Linked DNA regions of Oryctolagus cuniculus. The protein of the gene in region 3 interacts with the protein of the main gene of each other region in a biochemical or structural test. Links are inferred from orthologs where the notes say so. Each region holds a gene or a part of one and is shown on either strand. Other genes may lie near its edges.

Region 1 (3,500 bases), on a different chromosome or scaffold from region 3:
GTCTGTCTGAGGCTGGTACAGGAGGGTAGCACGGAGCCAGGGGCACCCTGGAGGGCCGTGGCAGGGGCAGGTGGGTGGGAGGCAGGGTGAGTGCCTGACTGTGGACCTGCCTCGCTCTGCCTGACTCTCCCGCTCCGGGGCTCTGCACGCCTCCTCGTGTCTGGGTGAGGAGTGGGGGGTGTGGGTGGTTACGGCCGCAGTGGAAAGGCAGGACCCCTGCCCCCGGCGTCTTCCAGCTGCCTGGGAAGACCGAAGGCACCCGGCTTACACTCACGTCAGGGGGAAGGAATCCGCCCTGCAGCACCGTGTGGCAGAGCGGCCTGGCGGAGCAGGGGTGCCGGTGCCCAGGGGTCAGGGCAAGTGTGGGAACCGGCTCTGGCTGCCGAGCCTCGGCGTACTCGTCCGTAGCCTGGGCATGGCCACAGACCCACTCATTCCCCGAGGCTGCTGCAGGAAGGAGGGAGCTTGGTAAAGCCTAACTTTTTGGCTAGAGTTGGGCAGTGAGCGGGGAGTGAGATGTCGGTGCTGGGAGGCCTCCAGGTGAGGTGTGTTTTATTAGCAGAGGGGGTGGTGGTCTCGACGCACCTTGCATTCCTCTGGGGACGGGCAGTCAGCACTTCTGCAAACTGTCTCGCTTTTATCCGGTTAGCAGACAGACGTGTACAAGGCTCCTGCTGTGCACCAGTCACGGGGGATTGACAGTGAGCAAGACAGAGCCTCATGGAGTTCAGGCTGCTGTGGGGAGTTAGACTCACAGGGACGGGGCCGGGGGAGCAGGGAGGCGAGACTCAGAGCAGAGCGTGTGTGAGCCGGGCCTTGAACGGTGCGCAGGGAGTGGATTATCTGGTGGGAGGGGCCACGTGGGCACTGGCTCGGGGGTCCCCTGAAGACTGGGAAGTCAGCCTGGCTGAGCCCTGGAGAGGGAGAGAGAGACTAGGATCCTAAGGAGCTCAGTTGTCAGACTCTTTCCCAGGGCGGAGGGCAGCGTTTGAAAGCAGGGCGGGGGCTCTGGCTGTTGTGGAAGGTGGGCCCTGGGGGCAGCCCCGAGGCCAGGAGGCCAAGGAGGAGGCTTCCGGGGAGGGATGGCCTGTCTCGGCCTGACCGGGAGGCTGGATGTGGGAGTCCTGTGTTCCTCATGTGGTGGGACTGGGCTGGTCTAAACGCATGTGCACACAGGTGAGCTAAGACCTGGGACGGACAGGCCCTGCCCGAGCTCCCACTGTGGCAACTACTGAGGCAGGCTGGGAGCCCCGTGGGTTCAGGGGCCCCTCCTCATTCACATCCTCCCCCGCCCCCACAGATTCCCCAGGCATCCCCCCTAGCGCCGGTGCTCATCAGCTGTTCCGTGGCTTCAGCTTCGTGGCCACCGGCCTGATGGAGGACGACAGCAAGTCCCGGGCCACGCAGGCACCACTGCACTCCGTGGTACAGGTGAGCGGGGCAGGCACTGCCGCCCGTCGTCCTCTCTGTCCAGAAACCACAGAGCAGCGAGCGCAGCCCCGGCCTGGCTCAAACCCCGACACCAGCGTGGAAGCCGTGGAGCCTCCCCGCCCTGGAGTCTCACTTTCCTTATTTGTAAAGCGGGACCATAATGCCTGCCTCACAAGGTGGCCCTGACAAGTGGGTGACAGTGTGGATCTGAATGCCCTGGCGTGGAGCCAGGGTCTGGGTGAATGCCACAGGGCGCCCAGGGGCACGGGGGTGGGGGAGCTGTTGGGTGCCTGGTAGGCATGGGTGGCCGGGCCCTTGTGTGTCCTCACACTGGTCCCTGTTTGGACACTCGGACTGCTCCTTGGGAAGCTGCGAGTTCAGAGGCACGAGTGCAGGGTGAGGGACTGTGGGTGAGAGTTTGGCCCCCGTGTCTCAGTCTGAACGGGCAGCGACAACCCTTCCTCTGTGGTGTCGCCGTGAGGATGACCTGAGTTAGCATGCGTGAAGCGGACACGGCTACAGAATTTATTATCCAGACGGGGCACCTTTGTCCAGGGCAAATGCTTTGTTTTTATATGTTTCAGGAGTTTAATTTTTATTTATTTGTTTTCATTTTATTTGAAAGGGACAGAGAGAGATCTCCCATGTACTGGTTCACTCCCCAGATGCCCACGGGGTGGGTCAGGCCAAAGCTAGGACCCCAGAACTCCACCTGGGGCTCCCATGTGGGCGGCAGGGGCCCAAGTACTTGAGCCGTCACTGCTGCTTCCCAGGGTGTACGTTAGCAGGAAGTTGGCCCAGAAGCAGAGGAGCCAAAACTCAAACCAGGCTCTGATATGGGATGCGGGTGTCCCAAGTGGCACCAAACACCCGCCCAGGACAGATGTTAAACCGGGCTGCATGTGACGATGCCACCACCAGCCAGGGCTGTCCCGGGCCGTGTGGCACCTGCTAGAAGTGCTCACGGCGCTCACTGCCTGGCCCACGGCGCCCACTGAACACCGTCTGGGCTGTCGCTGTTGTTCGTGTCTCAGACCCTCAGGCACCCATGAGCTGGGCTGGGGCACCCAGAAAGGGTAGACAGCAAGTGCAGAGCTGGGACCTCGCCCAGGCCCCTGCGACTCCTGCGTCCCTGTAGGCCTGCCCAGGCTTCTCAGAAACATCACCCGCTCGGTGAGTGCCTTGTGACTCCTGCCTGCCCCCTTCACTGCCCCCTGACTGCAGACTGTAGCCCAGACAGGCTACAGGTGTGCCCACTGCACAGAATAGAAAACTGAGGCCCAGGGGCTGCCAATGTGGCATAGTGGGTAAAGCTGCCGCCTGTGGTGCTGGCATCCCATATGAGTGCCAGTTTGAGTCTTCAGCTGCTCCACTTCCAATCCAGCTCCTTGCTAATGCACCTGAGAAAGTAGTGGAAGATGGTGCCAGTACTTGAGCCCCCCAACCCATGTGAGAGACCCAGATGAAGCTCTTGGCTCCTGCTTCGGATCAGCCCAGCTCAGGCTGTTGGGACCATTTGGGGAGTGAACCAGCAGATGGAAGCTCCTGTCCCCTGTCTCTCCCTCTTTCTCTGTAGCTCTGCCTTTCAAATAAATAAATCTTTAAAAAGAAAATTGAGGCCCAGAGAAGGGTAGGTTCTTGCCTAAGGGTTGCACAGCCAACACCACCCCAGGCCTTCTGACTCTCCCTGGGGGCTTTCTGCCATCTCTACTGAGACCTTGGGTGCTGGGGATGACCGCTGGCATGCTGGAGCCCAGGGTCAGCTCTCCTTCATCTCCCGCAGCAACTCCATGGGAAGAACCTTGTTTTCAGCGATGGCTACGTGGTGAAGGAGACAATCGGTGTGGGCTCCTACTCCGTGTGCAAGCGCTGTGTCCACAAGGCCACCAACACGGAGTACGCTGTCAAGGTGAGCCTGCGGCCGCGTCTTAAACAAGGCTGCTGCTGGGCTGGGGCTGAGGCCAATGCAGCTGGGACCCCGGGTGCCCAGGGCTGATGCCTGGGGCTCTATGGGTGTGCGGCTCAGACTCGGGGGCCTTGCAGAGTGGGATCCATGGGATCCATCCCCC
Region 2 (3,500 bases), on a different chromosome or scaffold from region 3:
GATGCGTCCGTGCCCTGGGTGGTGCACGCAGGGAGCTGCATGAGCCTTTGCTGGCAGCCAGCTGCCCTCCTCTGAGAGGGGCTGACAGCTCGTGTCTGTCCTGCGCGTGTATGGCTCAGCTCTCATTCACACCGCCACTTCCGCTTTTCTTCCTGGAGAAGACAAAATTCCCATCAGGAAGTATGCGGACGGCACCATCGACGTGGAGGAGGTGACGGAGAACCCCAAGACGGAGGTGTGTGGCGGAGAGAAGGGGCCTTGCTGCGCGTGCCCCAAGACCGAAGCCGAGAAGCAGGCTGAGAAGGAGGAGGCGGAGTACCGCAAGGTGTTCGAGAACTTCCTGCACAACTCCATCTTCGTGCCCAGGTACGGGTCAGGCAGGTCAGCACTGGCCACTGAGGGAGCCATGACAGGCGGCACTGCTGCTCCCTACAGGTGTAACCCACGCTCAGGGCACAGCCTCCTGTAGAGAACAGGTGGCTCCTGTCCTACTGCTGAGGAGCCGGGGCGCAGAGGGCATCAGGCGCTTGTCCACGCTCGCGAGTGGGAACGCCAGGACGTGGGCCTCTCTCAGCCTGCTGAGGAGGAGTCTTGTTGCAAAAGGGGCAAAAGCAGAGCCAGTTCTGTGGGGGGCCCGGCTTCCGAAAATAGCCCAGTATCCCAGGCACGCTCCACACCCAAGGGTGGGAAGCAGCGTAGAACATGGGCTTTCCAGGCAACGCAGCACCTGCCCCACGGATTCTGGCTGCTCCGAGCGCTCTTTCTGCATAGTGGGGACGGCAGTGGGGGGCGGAACGGCTCCCAGCAGTGCCGTCCGTAGCAGCCCAAGGCTGCAAGTAGCTCCAGTATCTGCAGGTGAACGGATGAGCGCTGTGGTGGAAACATCCCAAGAAATATCGTGCAGCCAGATAAGGGGATTCTGACCCGATGACAGGGACAAGCTTGAAACTACGGCTTGTCCCTGTCCCAAGTGGAGCAGGGCAGACACAAAGGAGCAAGTCTGGAGGACGCCCTGTGATGGGGCGAGGTCCTGTCTGGAGTGATCCCAAGTTTTTGAAAAGGTGTCAGTGACTGTGTGGCATAGTGAATGCAGTGAACTCCCCTGAATTAAAATGCCACAATTTTATGTTGCATGCACTTTCATCGCATTTTTAAGGTTTACTTTGCCATAATAAAAAAATAGTAAACAAAATAGCATATTTTAAAAGGCAGGGGAAGGTGCGGCAGGGGAGGCCAGCAGCGTCTGGAAAAGGAAAAGGAACAGAGCAGTGTGGAGGTGGAAAGACTCACTTGCAAGTCCAGTTTCCTGCTGTAAAACTGCGTTGCTGGGGCCGGTGCAGGGGGTTGAGCCACGCCAGAGCATTGGCATCCCCCATTGGAGCACTGGGTTGCATCCTGCTGCTGCACTTCCAGCCCAGTTCCCGGCTAACACACCTGGGAAGGCAGTAGAAGATGACCCAAGTGCTTGGGTGCCTGCCACCCACCTGGAGACCCAGGGGAAGTTCCAGGCATCTGGCTTTGGCTCGGACTAGCCCTGGCCATTTGGCTACTTGGGTGGTGAAGCATTGGATTGAAGATTGATCATCTCCATCCCTCCCTCTGCTGTGCTGCCTTTAAATCAATCAATTTTTTTTTTTAAGATTTAAAAAAAAATTTATATGAACGGTGGTGAGAAAGAGAGAGAATTAATGGGTCCATCTTCTATCCACTGATCCACTCCCCAAATAGGTGCAATGGCCAGGGCTGGGCCAGGCCAAAGCCAAGAGCCAGGAATTCCGTCTGGGTCTCCCACATGGTGGCAAAGGCTCAAGCACTTGTGCCATTCCCGGGCACATTGGCAGGGAGCGTGATTGGAAGTAGAGCAGCCCAGATGTGAACTGGTGCCCACATGGGATGCTGGCGTGACAACCAGCAGTGCAACCCACTGTGCCACAACACGACCCTCCATAGCTTCTTACTTGTAGACATAGTGTGTGCTGGGTTGATTTTGAAGGCAAGGCAAGAGCTTTGCTGGGTGTAAAAATGGTCCTCCTGGCCGGCGCTGTGGCTCAATAGGCTAATCCTCCACCTGCGGCCCCGGCACCCCGGGTTCTAGTCCCAGTTGGGGTGCCGGATTCTGTCCCGGTTGCCCCTCTTCCAGGCCAGCTCTCTGCTGTGGCCAGGGAGTGCAGTGGAGGATGGCCCACGTGCTTGGGCCCTGCACCCCATGGGAGACCAGGAGAAGCACCTGGCTCCTGGCTTCAGATCAGCGCAGTGCGCCGGCTGCAGCGGCCATTGCGGGGGTGAACCAACGGAAGGAAGACCTTTCTCTCTCTCTCTCTCTTACTGTCCACTCTGCCTGACAAAAAAAATAAGTAAATAAAAAGGTCCTCCTGGCGATAGATGTGGTTCCTTACGTTCTTCCCTTCTAGAATGAAAGCCCTGGTCCCTTCCCCAGCACCTGCCTTCCCTCCCAGGTTTGCCCGGGGGCAGTGCGCAGCCTGGATCAGCTGAGCCCTCCAGTGACTTCTGGCTGCCCCTCCCCGCGGGAGCACCCCAGCAGGGCGCTGACGGCCTCCTGTGTCCTGGGTGTCATCTCGGGTCCTTGGGCAGCTGGGATTCATCCCGTTTGCTCTCTCCCTTTGCCAGCAGTCTCAGCACCTCTGGTCCACGCTCACTGCGGGTTGCTGTTCCTCTGTCCAGGCACTGCTTTTGTGTCGTGACCTGGACGCTTCCTGTCAGGAGCCTGCTTTAAAGGTGTCTGGGGAGGGGGGGAGCCAGGAAGCTCACTTTCCACCTGCCCCAGCAGCAGCGGCGGTCGGAGGGGCCTCCCTGTGCCTCCCGCCACCTCTTCTGCCCTTTGGGTGTGGACGACCATCCTGAGTGATTTCCTGTGGGCTTCTCCTACGCCAGTAGATCCTGTAGCTGTCGGTAGGAAGCCTGCTGAAGTCGTGACGAAGACTCTGCCCCTCTCTGGAGCCTTGGGGAGGCTGCAGGTGCTCTATGCTTAGTGGGAGGCAAAGTCAGGCTGGAGAGGCCTGCAGGAGGGTGGCACAGGCTCGGGCCTGGGGACGAGAATCAGCGGGAGCCCCCGGGGAGGGTCTTGGGGTCCACGCTGGCACGTGCTGCTGGGATCAGGGCATCTCTTACAGAGGTGAGTCACCACCCACAGCCCCTGGAACCCCTCTCCCCCGTCTCCCCAGGGACTGTGGCCCGCACCTCACTGTGCCCTCACTGCTGATAAATCTGTGTGTAGCCAGCAGGCTTGCCCCTTTTCTTGCTTAACTGTAAGATCTGTGACTGAGAGGGCCCCCAGGGCACCAGTGAAACAGCCACCAGCTTAGCGCCTGGCCGAGAGTGGCCGTGGCATTGCCCGCCTCTGGGTGTAAGCCAGTGCCTGCCCCGGGAGCCAGGGAGTCGCTTGCTGCGCCTGAGGCTGCAGAGTGGAGGAAGTAAGGAAAGCCCGTGTTGCTTGTCGGTTTTTATCCAAGGGGGCTGAATGATTCCTTGTCTTCCAAGGC
Region 3 (3,500 bases):
GTTGAGAATCACTGGTCCACATGGGAGGATAGCATATCTCTCATCTGTACCACGATGGGGAACAGTCTGAGAAAAATTGCTCTAACTGCATGGAAGCATTTGAAATTTTTAAGCTAGAGTGTGACTAAGGAAAAAAGATCAAGCCGTGCAAGGATTTGAATAGAAGTTTGAAGTGGTGCATTTACTAAGGCATCAATTGTAGTAGTCTGGGCTTGAGACTAAAAGTATTTGAACTAAAATGGTGTTGGAAGGAATAAATATAAAGCAAGGAGCCAACAATGACTTAAGACAGTTGACTTCTATGGATGTGAGGGTGAAGGAAAGGGTATGTTTAGAGATAACTGCAGCTTCTCACCAGAAATAAGAGTTAGGAAGGATGGCCAGTGGCTCTGTCATCTCCTGCTACTGCACTTCATTTTTCCCTTTTTTTGTTTGGCAGAGATTATGGGCTCAGTTTTAAAGCATGTTGGGATTAAGTTAATGGATGGCAAATCATTCAAGAGGAAGTGATTAGCAGGAAGTTGGGGTGTTCGCACTGCAACTTTGAAAAGTGATTAAGAAAAGAGATTTGAGTGTCAAAGTCATAGAAACCCATAACATCTGTGAGTAAGTGAGTGCAGAACAGAAGAGGGTCAGAGACTGATACCGGGGTAGGAACCGATACTTAAAGAAACAAATCACGTCCTGATGAAACTGGGGGATTGGCTCAGTGTCTTCAGTAACATCTGGAGTTAGCAGTCTCGGTGATTTCTGTGGTCCTATTAGCATTGCTCCAGTAGCTGTTACTGTGTGAGTGACTTCATAGCATGTACTTTGGCCATTAAAATTAAATTGATCTTTATTTCAACAAAGTAAAAGAAACTGCCACCAGGAAGGTAATTTTTTTAAAAACTGATAAATATTTCCTTATGCCTTGAAATTATATGTATTACCAAATTATTGGAATTAAAATTTTATTAGGAGGCAGTTTTATTTCCTTCTTCACCATTTAGAGAGATTGTGTAATAAAGTAAATGCTCTAAATGTCTAATAAAATTAGAAAAAATATGCCTATGCATATGGTGTCTGCTTCTAGAAAAGGCAGAACTTTTTGGTTTTTATCATCTAGCTTAAGACAGCCTCTCAAATACCTTTGGGGTATTTCAACACCCCAAGACCTTTGGAGTATTATTCTAGTTAAATGGCAGAAAAAAAGAGAAGCACACACTGTATTTTTAGGAGTTCTAATAAGAGTGTTTCCCTATTCAAAATGCTAGATGTTTCTAGTCTAGTTTAGTGTCTTTTCTGGAAGATGGTGCTTTATTCTAGTTTTCAAAGCAAAATTAAAAAACGATGGCATGAAATTAATATTTTGGCTGTATGTTAGTAAAAGATACCTGATTAGAGATAATTGATAATTCAGCTAACTAATTTATTTCTGGCAGTCTGAGATTTTAGCTGCAAATTTGTTGTTTTTTTTCTTCTTCTACCCTTCCTAAAAATTTTAGTGGGTTTGTTGAAGCAGTTGCTGGCACAACAGCTGGGTTTGACTGAGAAGAGCACTCAGGAAGACTGGCAACATTTCCCAAGACAGAGGACAGCCTCTCGGGGGGCTCAGGCAGACAGTGGAACCCAGAACTCTGAAAATATTCAGGCGTATCACCCTGGTGAAGGACAGATACCCGTTAGAACTGGAACTGGTGACATTGCAACTTGTTACAGTCCACGGACTTCAACTGAATCTTCTGCTCCACGGGATTCAGTGGTACTGGCATCCCAAGATAGCCAGGCAAGTAGCATTTTAGTAATGGACCACATGATTATGACCCCAGAGATGCCTACCACAGAGCCAGAAGGGGGTCTTGATGAGAGTGGAGAGCACTTTTTTGATGCCCGTGAAGCACATAGTGATGATAATCCATCAGAAGGTGATGGAGCAGTTAAAAAGGAAGAGAAGGATGTTAATTTACGCATCTCAGGCAAGTTTCTTTCACATTTCAACTTGATTTTGATCCTTGTTAAAGTGTCCTGTGTGCTGAAATTGATGTTGTTTTGATAATCAAGCATTATATGTGTGTGTGTGTGTGTGTGTGTGTATTATTTATTTTTTCCTTCATTCAATAAATATTTACTGAGTTTACATCAGACCTCATGCTAGGTGCTGTGAGATACAGCAGTAAATAAAATGGAAAAAAGAAAAGATCCCTAATCTCATTAAGGTTAAGTACTTAGGAGGGGAAAGAGAAATAGGAAACAAACGAATGTCAGATAGTGAGAAATTAGGGAGACTAGGTCGGGCTAAGGGCAGAAAGGAACGAGGGCAGCGGAGGTGCTCTGCCATGTAGTGTTTCAGCAGAGACCTTATTAAGGTGAGGGAAAGCCACCTGGATACCTGGGAGTAGAGCTCCTGCAGAGAGCAGAGTGGGCTGACATCATAGGAAGGTTTTCGTAGTTACGGTCTGTGGGGTGAGGGAGAAGATGGCAGGAGGTGAGACGAGAGGTAATGACAGGGGAAGTGGTAGCAAGATCACGTAGAGACTGAGGTTTCCAGCTTTAAGCTTTCAAAATGCTTACATGAAATTACTTAGAAATGGCTATGAATGTTGGCTCAGTTTACTTTTAATCTGAAGTGAGAGACCTGTCTGATGTGCTTAAACCTAAACTTAGGAATTAATATCTTTTCCTCCTGTCTAATAGCTTTGCAAGTTGTCAGCCTCCTACCTCCTGCTCTGGTTCTGAGGGCAGCACTGATCTCATCAGAGTGCTCTGTCTCTGTTGACAGGAACCTGTCTGATCCTTGATGGCTATGAACTCATGCAGGAGAGCTCTACAGACGAGGAGGTCGCCTCCTCACTCGCCCTGCAGCCTGCCACAGGCATCCCCTCTGCAGACTCTCCCTACCCGCAGCAGCATTCGCCCCAAAATGCTTATTCTGAGGAGGCCGTTTCACCCTTCAGCCCAGAATTCCTGGTCCAGCAGCGCTGGGGAGCTATGGAGGATTCCTGTTTTGAGATCCAGAGTCCTCTGTCTTGTGCAGATTCACACAGCCTGATCATGGAGTACATTCATAAGATAGAGGCTGACCTTGAACACTTAAAGGTACCTCACACTTAAACATGTTAAGAGTTGATTCTAAAGTGCATTTCACAGAGGGGAGTGTGGGGTTACTGAAATGCCAGCGTCGGAGCCTTGTTCAGGTTCTAGATCTGTATGTTTATTTGAGCAATATCCATGAATAGGCGTGGACAAAATGCAATGTCAGCATCGTTTATCTTGTGACAGAAAACATTATAGCTCTACAAACAGTGTGTTTGGGTGAATTTCTAACTTTAAGAGCCTAAAACTGCCTGGGGAAGTTGGCTGGCCTCTGTGGGATAATAGGAACGGTAAGGGGGCTAAGTGGGGTTCGTGTAGCTAAGAATCTAGTCTGGGCAATGCTGTGCCCGCTATCTCCTGTTAATTATCTGTGACTCGCCAGGTAAAGTTGGTGGTTTCCCAGATGCTGTGACAGACAGAAAGTG

What was found.
Region 1: the proteins of ARHGEF12 (region 3) and RPS6KA1 interact in a test that uses a peptide from one of them, tested with the Homo sapiens proteins (2 studies listed by BioGRID and IntAct, with this or other methods). The link is inferred for Oryctolagus cuniculus from reciprocal best matches to the Homo sapiens genes ARHGEF12 and RPS6KA1.
Region 2: the proteins of ARHGEF12 (region 3) and IGF1R form a complex in vitro, tested with the Homo sapiens proteins (2 studies listed by BioGRID and IntAct, with this or other methods). The link is inferred for Oryctolagus cuniculus from reciprocal best matches to the Homo sapiens genes ARHGEF12 and IGF1R.

Annotation. Positions count from the first base shown.
Region 1 is NC_091438.1:144,943,243-144,946,742, reverse strand, and holds part of RPS6KA1 (ribosomal protein S6 kinase alpha-1), read left to right. Parts: intron 1-1,300; coding exon 1,301-1,431; intron 1,432-3,214; coding exon 3,215-3,340; intron 3,341-3,500. UniProt on the Homo sapiens protein: Serine/threonine-protein kinase that acts downstream of ERK (MAPK1/ERK2 and MAPK3/ERK1) signaling and mediates mitogenic and stress-induced activation of the transcription factors CREB1, ETV1/ER81 and NR4A1/NUR77, regulates translation through RPS6 and EIF4B phosphorylation, and mediates cellular proliferation, survival, and differentiation by modulating mTOR signaling and repressing pro-apoptotic function of BAD and DAPK1.
Region 2 is NC_091443.1:8,487,693-8,491,192, reverse strand, and holds part of IGF1R (insulin-like growth factor 1 receptor), read left to right. Parts: intron 1-158; coding exon 159-366; intron 367-3,500. UniProt on the Homo sapiens protein: Receptor tyrosine kinase which mediates actions of insulin-like growth factor 1 (IGF1). Binds IGF1 with high affinity and IGF2 and insulin (INS) with a lower affinity. The activated IGF1R is involved in cell growth and survival control.
Region 3 is NC_091432.1:112,976,042-112,979,541, forward strand, and holds part of ARHGEF12 (rho guanine nucleotide exchange factor 12), read left to right. Parts: intron 1-1,487; coding exon 1,488-1,958; intron 1,959-2,761; coding exon 2,762-3,078; intron 3,079-3,500. UniProt on the Homo sapiens protein: May play a role in the regulation of RhoA GTPase by guanine nucleotide-binding alpha-12 (GNA12) and alpha-13 (GNA13). Acts as guanine nucleotide exchange factor (GEF) for RhoA GTPase and may act as GTPase-activating protein (GAP) for GNA12 and GNA13.